Linked DNA regions of Arabidopsis thaliana. The protein of the gene in region 2 interacts with the protein of the main gene of each other region in a pairwise test. Each region holds a gene or a part of one and is shown on either strand. Other genes may lie near its edges.

Region 1 (4,465 bases), on a different chromosome or scaffold from region 2:
ATTTGTTTCGAAAACGTTTGATATATTCCTTAAACAACGTAATTTATAAATTCAAATCAAAAAACAGATCTTCAAATTCGACTAAATCTATATATTCGATTCAATTGATTGTCATTGAACAATTAATAAAATTAAATACCCGAATATATCAAGTATATATCTTAACTAACATTATACACAAATATTATTCTAGGTTGTACTTTCCTAAACCCTATATCAAACAATTCACGAACTAGATTACTATAAATATATGGTGAAGAATGCAATTGAAAGTCAACTAAAGAAAAGTGAACAAGCTACACAGGTTCATCAGATATGGAGAGTGGTGAAGAATTTGATAGTAGTTATTATTTTACAAATATAAGAAATAGAATTTATTTACTAATAAAACTTTTTTATTCTAACTATTACAATAGGAATATATTCTGTAAGAACATTGTTTTTTGTTAACTAAATCAACTTTCAGTTATCCAAAAAACACAACCAAACTTTTCAATTAAATCATAATGAATTGTATAAATTAACATTATTCTCTACATTTGTAATAGATCAGACATTAAATAAAATTCAGTTTACCAACATTAAAAATACCAAACAATTAAATGTATAATATTTACGTAAAATATATATACTAATATAAAATTTAATATCACAAAATAAGTACACGTTTTATTTTAACAAAAAAGTTTTAACAAAATTAATTAAACAAAAATACCTACATGTATGTGCGGGTCATGATCTAGTATTCAATAAAAGAACATGAACAAACTCTATATTTACATAAGGAATTTGAATACAACAAGTTTCTCTCATATGTGGCTTTAGAAATTATAAATGAGAGAAATTTAAAATATTCATTTTGGCCTAATACAAATAACAATAAAAATTGTCTACAATGAGAGACTAATTTTCTGATACTTATGTTACTGCGAGATAAATATCTTTTAAATTTGACGACTCTTTACTAGGAATTATACAATCAAACTTATGTAATGGAGCTATATATTTTAATAGTACTCCAAACTTTTAAGTAATATTACATGATTCTACAATATTTAATAAATGTTTAAAAAATATACACCTGATTGAAATAAGTTTCAACAAGAAAAACATGGCTATTTTGTTGGTGTATCAAATTTATTTTAAGCAATCTACATCTCTTTTTAATCTGTTTATTCCTAGATGATAAAGGACAAACAACAATATCAGTTGTACATGGTAAAATAGTCTACCCTCTACGTATACACATAAACGGTTAAAATGAACACAAATTACAATTTAGACCAATGGAAAATCGATTTTACTCAAACACCAACAAACTTTGAACAAAGAACTGTTACACGTAGAACCAAACAATATGATGAAAAGTATTATTAAAATTTAGATCCTTTAGAAATTCACCCTCTTTTGGAATAAATTCATTTTATGCACATTTTTTTTTCTCCGATTATAGGTCTAGCCAAACTATTACTAACTCGGAAAAAAATACAGAAAAAATATTCACAAAAAAAAGAGAATAAACCTATCAAATTTCACCTAGGTGATTTGATAGAAGTCGTATCACCTAGTTTTCCTACTTCTCCAAAAGTTTCAGATTTGAAATAGACAAAGAATATCAAATTTAAATTAGAGAAAAAAATATCTTAAAGGAGAATTTTTATCCAATAAAGTTAAAAATAAAGAAAAATGGTACTTTGACACCTTCAAAGAATTTTTTTTTTAAAGAGAATTATGGTATAAAGATATGAAGTACATATTCTATTTTTTGCATGGTTTGAAATATGTGCTGTAGAAAATAAAATAGATTATCCTTACAAAAATGAATCAATAACATTAGTTCAATAGTATATAATACATGGGAAATGACTATTGAGAAATACAAAAGAATTCATCCACCATTAAAAGATATATGTTGTGACTAGTGCATGGATAGAAAAACAAGAATTTAAAGAAATCAGAAGAATTTATACTTCTTCTCTTTCAGGGAATACAGTTTTCGTCTCAACAAAAAATTCTTTAACAATTCCTGCGGCTGGACTTGGACTGGTTAGAATTGCTCCTTCACGAAATTTGGGGTGAATTTACAAATAAACATAAATAAAGGGAGGTTTCACGAATTTTTAAAAATAAGTATCCTGATCACTAAATATTACAAAACTAAAGAACGTCACACAGATGGTGATCGAACAATACCGACACCTAAACCTCTGTACCACAATTCGACGCAATTCATCGTTACCCAAAAACCTCTGTTTCGATTCCTAGACACTCTCACTAGGGTTTTACAACTATGGCAACGACTCGAATGGTTAGGGTTTCGCAAGATGGTTCGGGAGATTACTGCTCTGTTCAAGACGCAATTGATTCGGTGCCTTTAGGTAACACTTGCAGAACTGTGATTCGTCTCTCACCTGGGATTTATCGGCAACCTGTGTATGTACCCAAGAGGAAGAATTTCATTACCTTCGCCGGAATCTCACCGGAGATCACGGTTTTGACTTGGAACAATACAGCTTCCAAGATTGAGCATCACCAGGTAACGTTTGCTATGTTCTTAGTGTTTTTGGTACGTGTACGGCTCTGATTTGGTTGTTTTGTTTTGCAGGCGTCTAGAGTCATTGGGACTGGTACGTTTGGTTGTGGTAGTGTTATTGTTGAAGGTGAAGATTTTATTGCAGAGAACATTACTTTTGAGAACTCTGCTCCTGAGGTAATCATATAAAGTCTCTTCCTTTATTACTACACAAAGTTTAGAAATTTTACTCAAATTAGTTTAGGGATCTATAAAGTCTCTTCCTTTGTATGTTCTTATTAATGTTCAGATTCAAAGTTTGGAAATTTCTTCTGCTGAGATTAGAATTAAGAGTTGTCTATGGTGATTTTTTATCCTAGTTATGTTATTTGACCACTTTGTATATAGGGATCAGGGCAAGCTGTGGCGATACGAGTCACTGCAGACCGTTGCGCCTTTTATAATTGTCGATTTCTCGGTTGGCAGGTTCGTTTATCAGTCCTTTGATTCAAATGATTTGTGTAAACTTGTGGAAACTTTGTGTTGGTTGTTCATAGTTTAGATGTGGTATATTGCAAGTAGGTTGATCCAATCTTGTTATAGCTTATTTGCAAAATGTGAAATGCAGGATACATTGTATTTACATCATGGGAAACAATATTTGAAAGACTGTTACATCGAGGGAAGTGTGGATTTCATATTTGGAAACAGTACCGCTCTCTTGGAACACTGCCATATCCACTGCAAATCTCAGGGGTTTATAACAGCACAAAGCCGAAAATCGTCTCAGGAATCTACTGGTTATGTATTCTTAAGGTCTGCTTCACAAGGATTACTTACAACTTCTACATTCTTCCAAGGAAACTGAGTTTCTACTAACTTGTTTGCAGATGTGTGATCACGGGTAATGGTCAGAGCGGGTATATGTATCTCGGAAGGCCATGGGGACCATTTGGGAGGGTAGTCCTTGCTTACACTTACATGGACGCGTGTATCAGAAATGTGGGTTGGCATAACTGGGGAAACGCAGAGAACGAGAGAAGTGCTTGCTTTTATGAGTATAGGTACATCATATGACATCTCTTAACTGCAACAAGTGGTAATCACGAAACAGTTTTTTGATATTCTTTTGGATGTAAAATGGTAGGTGCTTTGGTCCGGGTAGCTGTTCGTCTGAACGTGTTCCGTGGTCGAGAGAACTGATGGATGACGAAGCTGGACACTTTGTGCATCATAGTTTTGTAGATCCTGAACAGGACCGGCCTTGGTTGTGTCTAAGAATGGGTGTGAAAACACCATATTCGGCTTAGAGTACTGAAAAAAAATGTTGTAACTGCCATGGTGAGGCCTAGAATAACAAAGGATCATGAAGAACCTATTGTAAACAACCCTAGTATCAAACTTTGGATTATCTTTTGTCCAAGTCAATAAGTGCACTACAAAAGGATCTTCTATAGAAACTATGATTATACACTTCATAGTTTCTTCTTGTTTAACTAAATTGGTAAAATGTTTTGGTTATTTTTTTGTGTAAATAAGATTATATAAAAATGGGCATTTGGTCTAGTGGTATGATTCTCGCTTAGGGTGCGAGAGGTCCCGAGTTCAATTCTCGGAATGCCCCAATTTTTTTCCCACCCAACTAAAACTTCAAGTTTCTACAACACTAGAATTTAGATGTAACTATCTTCTTGATTTGCTTTTACAGATTTTGATAGGTTTGGTGAAGAACATCAAGCAGAAGATTAACAAGAGCTTCACACAGAACAGGTTAAAATAGCATAGAAGATCAATATTAGATTCTCAGATCTATCATAAACAAAATTGCGACCATAGCAATAGAAAGTTGTTCAGTTAGAAATTGGTCAGGCAGGTGAAGAGAAAAAGGCTTCACCTGGTGAGTTTGAAGTACAAGATAAAGATAATGGCGAGGACAAGGACTGTGATTATCGC
Region 2 (5,747 bases):
TTTCAGCCCGGCGGTATCGCCTTCCGGAAATTTAACGGCTGTGGCTTCATACGGAGAGAGAGGCTGGACAGGGGAAGTTGAAGAGCTACGTACGGACATCTATGTATTCTTGACTCGGGATGGGTCTCACCGTGTCAAGGTGGTGGAGCACGGTGGTTGGCCGTGTTGGGTTGATGAGTCGACTCTGTATTTCCATAGAAGAAGTGAGGAGGATGGTTGGATCAGCGTTTACCGAGCCATCTTACCTGAAAACGGACCGTTGACTACTGAGTCGGTGACAATTCAGCGAGTCACACCACCGGGAGTTCACGCTTTCACACCGGCCACGTCACCAAACAACCACGAGTTCGTTGCGGTAGCTACAAGGAGACCAGGCTCGGATTACCGCCACGTGGAGTTGTTTGATCTAAAGAGGAATGAGTTTATAGAGTTGACTCGTTTGGTGGCGCCAAAGAGTCATCACTTGAATCCATTCTTGTCCCCTGACTCGTCTCGAGTCGGATATCATAGTTGTAGAGGCGATGCTAATGGACGGAGAAGTCCTCTGCTCTTCCTTGAAAATATTCAAACCACTACAAGGGACCTCTCTCTCTTTAGAATTGATGGTTCGTTTCCTTCGTTCTCACCTGGAGGTGATCGTATCGCATACGTTAAGATGCCTGGTGTGTTTGTGGTGAAGCCGGATGGTTCAGGGCAGCGTGAAGTGTACAAGGGAATGGCGTTTTCGACAGCTTGGGATCCGGTTCGACCTGGAATTGTGTACTCTAGCTCAGGTCCAACGTTTGCTACAGAGAGAACAGAGGTTGATGTTATCTCTATTGACGTTGATGCAGCCGATAAGTCATCTTCCGTGAGGAGGCTAACGACAAACGGGAAGAACAATGCTTTCCCTTGGCCATCTCCTGATGGTAAGCGGATAGTGTTTCGTTCGGGGCGGACTGGTCACAAAAACCTCTACATAATGGATGCTGAGAAAGGAGAAAGCGGTGGTCTATGGAGGTTAACCGAAGGTGCGTGGACCGACACAATGTGTAACTGGTCACCGGATGGGGAATGGATCGCGTTTGCATCAGATCGAGAAAGCCCTGGCTCGGGTAGTTTTGAGCTCTTCTTGATCCACCCCAACGGAACAGGGTTAAGGAAGCTCATCCAAAGCGGGACGGGTGGGAGAACAAACCACCCGATCTTCAGCCCGGACAGTAAATCATTAGTCTTCACTTCTGATTATGCTGGAATCTCGGCGGAACCGATCTCGAACCCGCATCATTACCAGCCATACGGTGATATCTTCACGGTGAAATTAGATGGCTCTAATGTGAGGAGGCTAACGCATAACTCTTATGAAGATGGGACACCGGCATGGGCCCCTCGGTTCATCCACCCCAACAATGTGGAGCTACAAAGGAGGAATGATTCTAGGTGCTCGTTCGAAGACTGTCACTGGCTCAACAAGTACCCTACACTAAAAGGCCGAAAAATATCTTGTTAATATGTATCTACAGTTTTGTATCCCAGCTTGTAACTCTACTTATAGATTTGTATGAGACTGCCACTGTATATGCATAAGACTTTGTATTATAGAGATCGTTAATGTGATATGTATATCATATTGTCAAAACAGTCGTGATAAGATATCAAACCCTCTTCTAAATGATAGTCTTGCTATTGCGGTTTGGAATCCTCATGAATTATCCAATGTCAATTCAATCTCAGCGTGATTGAAGACAGGTTTTTAAATTCCAAAATCTCTTCTTTAATCACGTTTATAAATCAGTTTTGATACATTATTACTATGTTTTGCGTACGTGTCAGAAGATTACTATCCATGTAATGTCTGAAGAATTAGGTGCGAGTCAAAAGTCATAACAGTCGATAAGATATCAAACCCTCTTCGTGACTTGGAAGGTTTGAGGCGGGGGCGGGAAAATCCAGAAAACGTCGGATAATGTTTATAAAGGAGTCTCTCCGTCACCGGAGAAAAATTAGAAGAAAAAAGAGGCGAAGAAGAGAGAGGAATGGCGCCAGTTCTTCAGAGCTCACAGCCATGGGTTGAGAAATAGTACGATTTCTTCTCACTGATTTTTTATTTCGTTGACGGAATTTATGTGGGGTTTAATAAACTCATTGTTTCCGATTTGGATCTAGCCGGCCGAAGCAGGTTAAGGACGTGGCTCACCAGGAAGAGGTGGTTCGTGTCCTCACCAACACTCTCCAGACTGCTGACGTAATTTCACTATAACCTCTTTGTTTATCGCGAAACAAATCCCTAATTATTAAAATCTGATTTTGTACAAGTGTGAAAAACCCTAGATGTCGAATTTGGTTCTCAATTCTGGGTTTTAATTTTTTGTTTGTCTCTCTGTTGTAGTGCCCGCACATGCTCTTCTATGGACCACCAGGCACTGGAAAAACCACTACTGCTCTTGCCATCGCTCACCAGCTCTTTGGGTAACGTATTCATTTGATAATTTGTGATAGCTGAAATTCGGATGACTTTTTGATTGATTCATTTGTGTGTACTTAGTTTGTATGAGACCTTGTGATCTCTAATATGATACATTCAGATTTGTGATTCAAATAACTCGGTTTTTTTTTTTTTTTATGTAGAAGCTGATATAATATGCACACTCAGACTCTGTGGTTGCATAATGATATACCAACTTCTCCCATTAGGTAGCTAGACAGTATACCAAGATGTGAATTCATAGGAATAGTAATCATTATGATTTTTCTATGTAAGTGGTTAGTTTTTGAAGCTGAATTGTCTTGTTCTTCTTTCCATTGCCTCCATGGGTGTCGTCCCATATGAGTCGGTTTCAGCTTCTTTTGAGAGTAATAATCACAGATTTATTTTCATGAGCCTGGCCTTGTTTTGTTATTTCATTTTGCTATATTATGTGGATTTTTACAATGGGCATGTGAACTAACTATAGAGTGTTTACAGACCTGAACTATACAAGTCTAGGGTGTTGGAGCTTAATGCAAGTGATGACAGAGGTATTAATGTTGTTCGGACTAAGATCAAGGATTTTGCTGCTGTTGCTGTTGGGTCTAATCATCGTCAAAGGTGTCGTACTTTTTATTAAGTTTTTTTTTTTTTTGGGGTCATTTTCTCGTTTCTGCATTTCATCTAAGACCTTCGATTTGATACTTCAGTGGTTATCCTTGCCCATCGTTTAAGATCATCATCCTAGATGAGGCTGATTCGATGACAGAAGATGCTCAGGTACGTTGAACATCTATTATTCACTACCGCATTTGTACGTTTGATATGTGTTTACCATGAGCTATTTTATTGACTGTCCAGAATGCCTTGAGGCGCACAATGGAAACTTACTCCAAAGTCACCAGATTCTTTTTCATATGTAATTACATCAGCAGGTAATTCTGTCACAACAGCCTTTTATTTTTTTTCCTTCTGTTCTCATTTGTTCTCCAATTTTCTCTCTGGTTATTGAAAATGATTGCTTTTTCGTTTATACTTTTGTTATATTTTGGAACATGCTCATAGTGAGCTACTTGCTGAACTATGAACCTACTGATTTTGATCACCCTTACAAACTTTGATCTCTTGTTCTGTAGGATCATAGAGCCCCTTGCTTCCAGGTGTGCGAAGTTCAGGTTTAAACCACTTTCCGAAGAAGTCATGAGTAACCGTATATTGCATATTTGTAATGAAGAAGGTCTCAGCCTTGATGGAGAGGTATGAGCAAATGCTTCAATGTTTTCCGTATTATTTTAGTTTTGTGAAAGCTGATTATTGTAGCCGTTTCCTATTCAGGCTCTTTCAACTTTGAGCTCCATATCACAAGGTGATCTCCGTAGGGCCATCACATATCTGCAGGTAAGATAAAACTATCTGAAATATTTGTTACTAGACGAAATCGACCATAGAAATGTGAAACACTCTTTCTACCTGAATATTGCAGAGTGCTACTCGGTTGTTTGGATCAACAATAACTTCTACAGATTTACTCAATGTGTCTGGGGTAAGGATGAAGTTAACCCAATATTTGCATAAGTGTATGGTAGGTTCAGCCATGTCAGACTTGCTGATGTTTAATATGGATGTCTAACGAATCTATCAGGTAGTTCCTCTAGAGGTAGTCAATAAACTTTTTACTGCATGCAAAAGTGGTGATTTCGATATTGCAAACAAGGAAGTGGATAACATAGTTGCAGAAGGATATCCTGCATCTCAAATCATCAATCAGGTTTTCTATTTTCCTCTCTTATTTTTACCCCATTTAAGTCATGCAACTGTGGCTATAACCCCTTCTATACAACACTCTTTCAGCTATTCGATATAGTTGCGGAGGCTGACAGTGACATAACAGACATGCAAAAGGCTAAGATCTGCAAATGTTTAGCTGAAACTGATAAGGTAAGACTTTCCCGTACTAATTTTCCTTACTTGTGTCTCTTTTAGAGCCTCAAGTGAGATCAATTACCAACATCTTGACTCAATTATATTACGGGTTTTGAGTGAAGTTCACATCTTAGATTTTTGCCATTTGAATCTGTAGATATGTTGCAATCTTGCTAAGGATGTCTCTGTTACCTCTAGTGATAATAAAATATCTCACATCTTTTATTTTTAATGTATCCAGCGACTTGTAGACGGGGCGGATGAGTACTTGCAGCTTCTGGATGTGGCAAGCAGTACAATTTGTGCCCTCTCAGAAATGGCTCAAGACTTCTAATGCAAATTCTGCTTGAATTGGACCTGTGCCTTAAGACTTATGAGACTATCATAGTGTAGGTTTTGATAAAAAGTTGGAGCGTTATGACGTTTTACTGGTTACTTATCTGTTATTGTTTTAAGAAAAACTATTAGATATATTTATTGCATCATTACTTAAGTCTATTTGTTTTGTGGGTAAGATCATTAAATATCATTACAATGTGAAATACATGATCGAATCAAAATAATTAACATCTCTTATAACCAACAAAATCATGACCAGATAGCTTGATGGACATTGCTTCTGTTGTAAGAATTAGTGAATCCCTTTATCTATATCCAATATTGACACCGTAAAAGGAGTAATGTGTTTCTTTACTAGTTGGATATATATACAGTGTAGATCCCAAAATGTAAATATAAAAATAAAAAATATAGTAGATTTATATAATTATATTTTTCTATTTATTACCTCTAATAATCAAAATAGTAAAATCCTACGAAAATGTAATAAAATACAAGAGGATTAATATACATATCCACATAAAAGGAAGATTCGGATACACATCCAAACTATAGAAAACATTAGTAATGCCATAAATAAATAAAAATGCTGTCAAGACACAAAATTCGTTGAATGTTATAGTCTTCACATAAAACTGTCATAAATCTGGATACGTTCTAAAAATAATTGATCTAATCTAAATCTATAAGTAGTTTCTTATTAGTAGAATCCTTATGAATCTTAATTTGATCAAGACAGAAACGCTTTTGTTTACTTTTACCTAATGGTCGATGGTGACGATTCTTTCAAGAGACCCGGAGCTGTGCCTTTTAAGTGGGAGATCCGACCCGGTGTACCTAAAACCCGACCCGGTGATGATGATCCAGCTCTTCTTCAACCACCTCCTCCTAACAAACTTCCTCCTCTCAAATTAAAATCAACTCCGCCGTCGAATTCGCCATCTCCGTCGTCTTCTTCTTCTTTCTTCTCTGAATCCAGAAGCCGACCAGTCTCTCCCTTCGCTCCTCCTCCGTCTTTCAAGCTGAAATCGCCTTCAGA

The links. The genes of interacting proteins can lie anywhere in the genome.
Region 1: the proteins of EMB1968 (region 2) and PME31 interact in binary tests that used the Arabidopsis thaliana proteins (3 or more experiments, as listed by UniProt).

The regions. Positions count from the first base shown.
Region 1 is NC_003074.8:11,071,514-11,075,978, forward strand, and holds PME31 (pectin methylesterase 31), read left to right. Parts: upstream 1-2,132; 5' UTR 2,133-2,290; coding exon 2,291-2,536; intron 2,537-2,605; coding exon 2,606-2,710; intron 2,711-2,920; coding exon 2,921-2,998; intron 2,999-3,140; coding exon 3,141-3,328; intron 3,329-3,402; coding exon 3,403-3,576; intron 3,577-3,659; coding exon 3,660-3,822; 3' UTR 3,823-3,965; downstream 3,966-4,465. Other genes in the region: VTI13 (vesicle transport V-snare 13), read right to left, coding at 4,403-4,465. UniProt on the Arabidopsis thaliana protein: Acts in the modification of cell walls via demethylesterification of cell wall pectin. Acts in a blockwise manner, resulting in a cell wall rigidification.
Region 2 is NC_003070.9:7,613,660-7,619,406, forward strand, and holds EMB1968 (ATPase family associated with various cellular activities (AAA)), read left to right. Parts: upstream 1-1,954; 5' UTR 1,955-2,015; coding exon 2,016-2,059; intron 2,060-2,145; coding exon 2,146-2,224; intron 2,225-2,368; coding exon 2,369-2,448; intron 2,449-2,944; coding exon 2,945-3,067; intron 3,068-3,156; coding exon 3,157-3,226; intron 3,227-3,307; coding exon 3,308-3,381; intron 3,382-3,582; coding exon 3,583-3,703; intron 3,704-3,781; coding exon 3,782-3,844; intron 3,845-3,929; coding exon 3,930-3,989; intron 3,990-4,088; coding exon 4,089-4,214; intron 4,215-4,297; coding exon 4,298-4,384; intron 4,385-4,610; coding exon of another isoform or gene 4,611-4,663; coding exon 4,664-4,762; 3' UTR 4,763-4,907; downstream 4,908-5,747. Other genes in the region: AT1G21680 (DPP6 N-terminal domain-like protein), read left to right, coding at 1-1,489; AT1G21695 (hydroxyproline-rich glycoprotein family protein), read left to right, coding at 5,473-5,747. UniProt on the Arabidopsis thaliana protein: May be involved in DNA replication and thus regulate cell proliferation.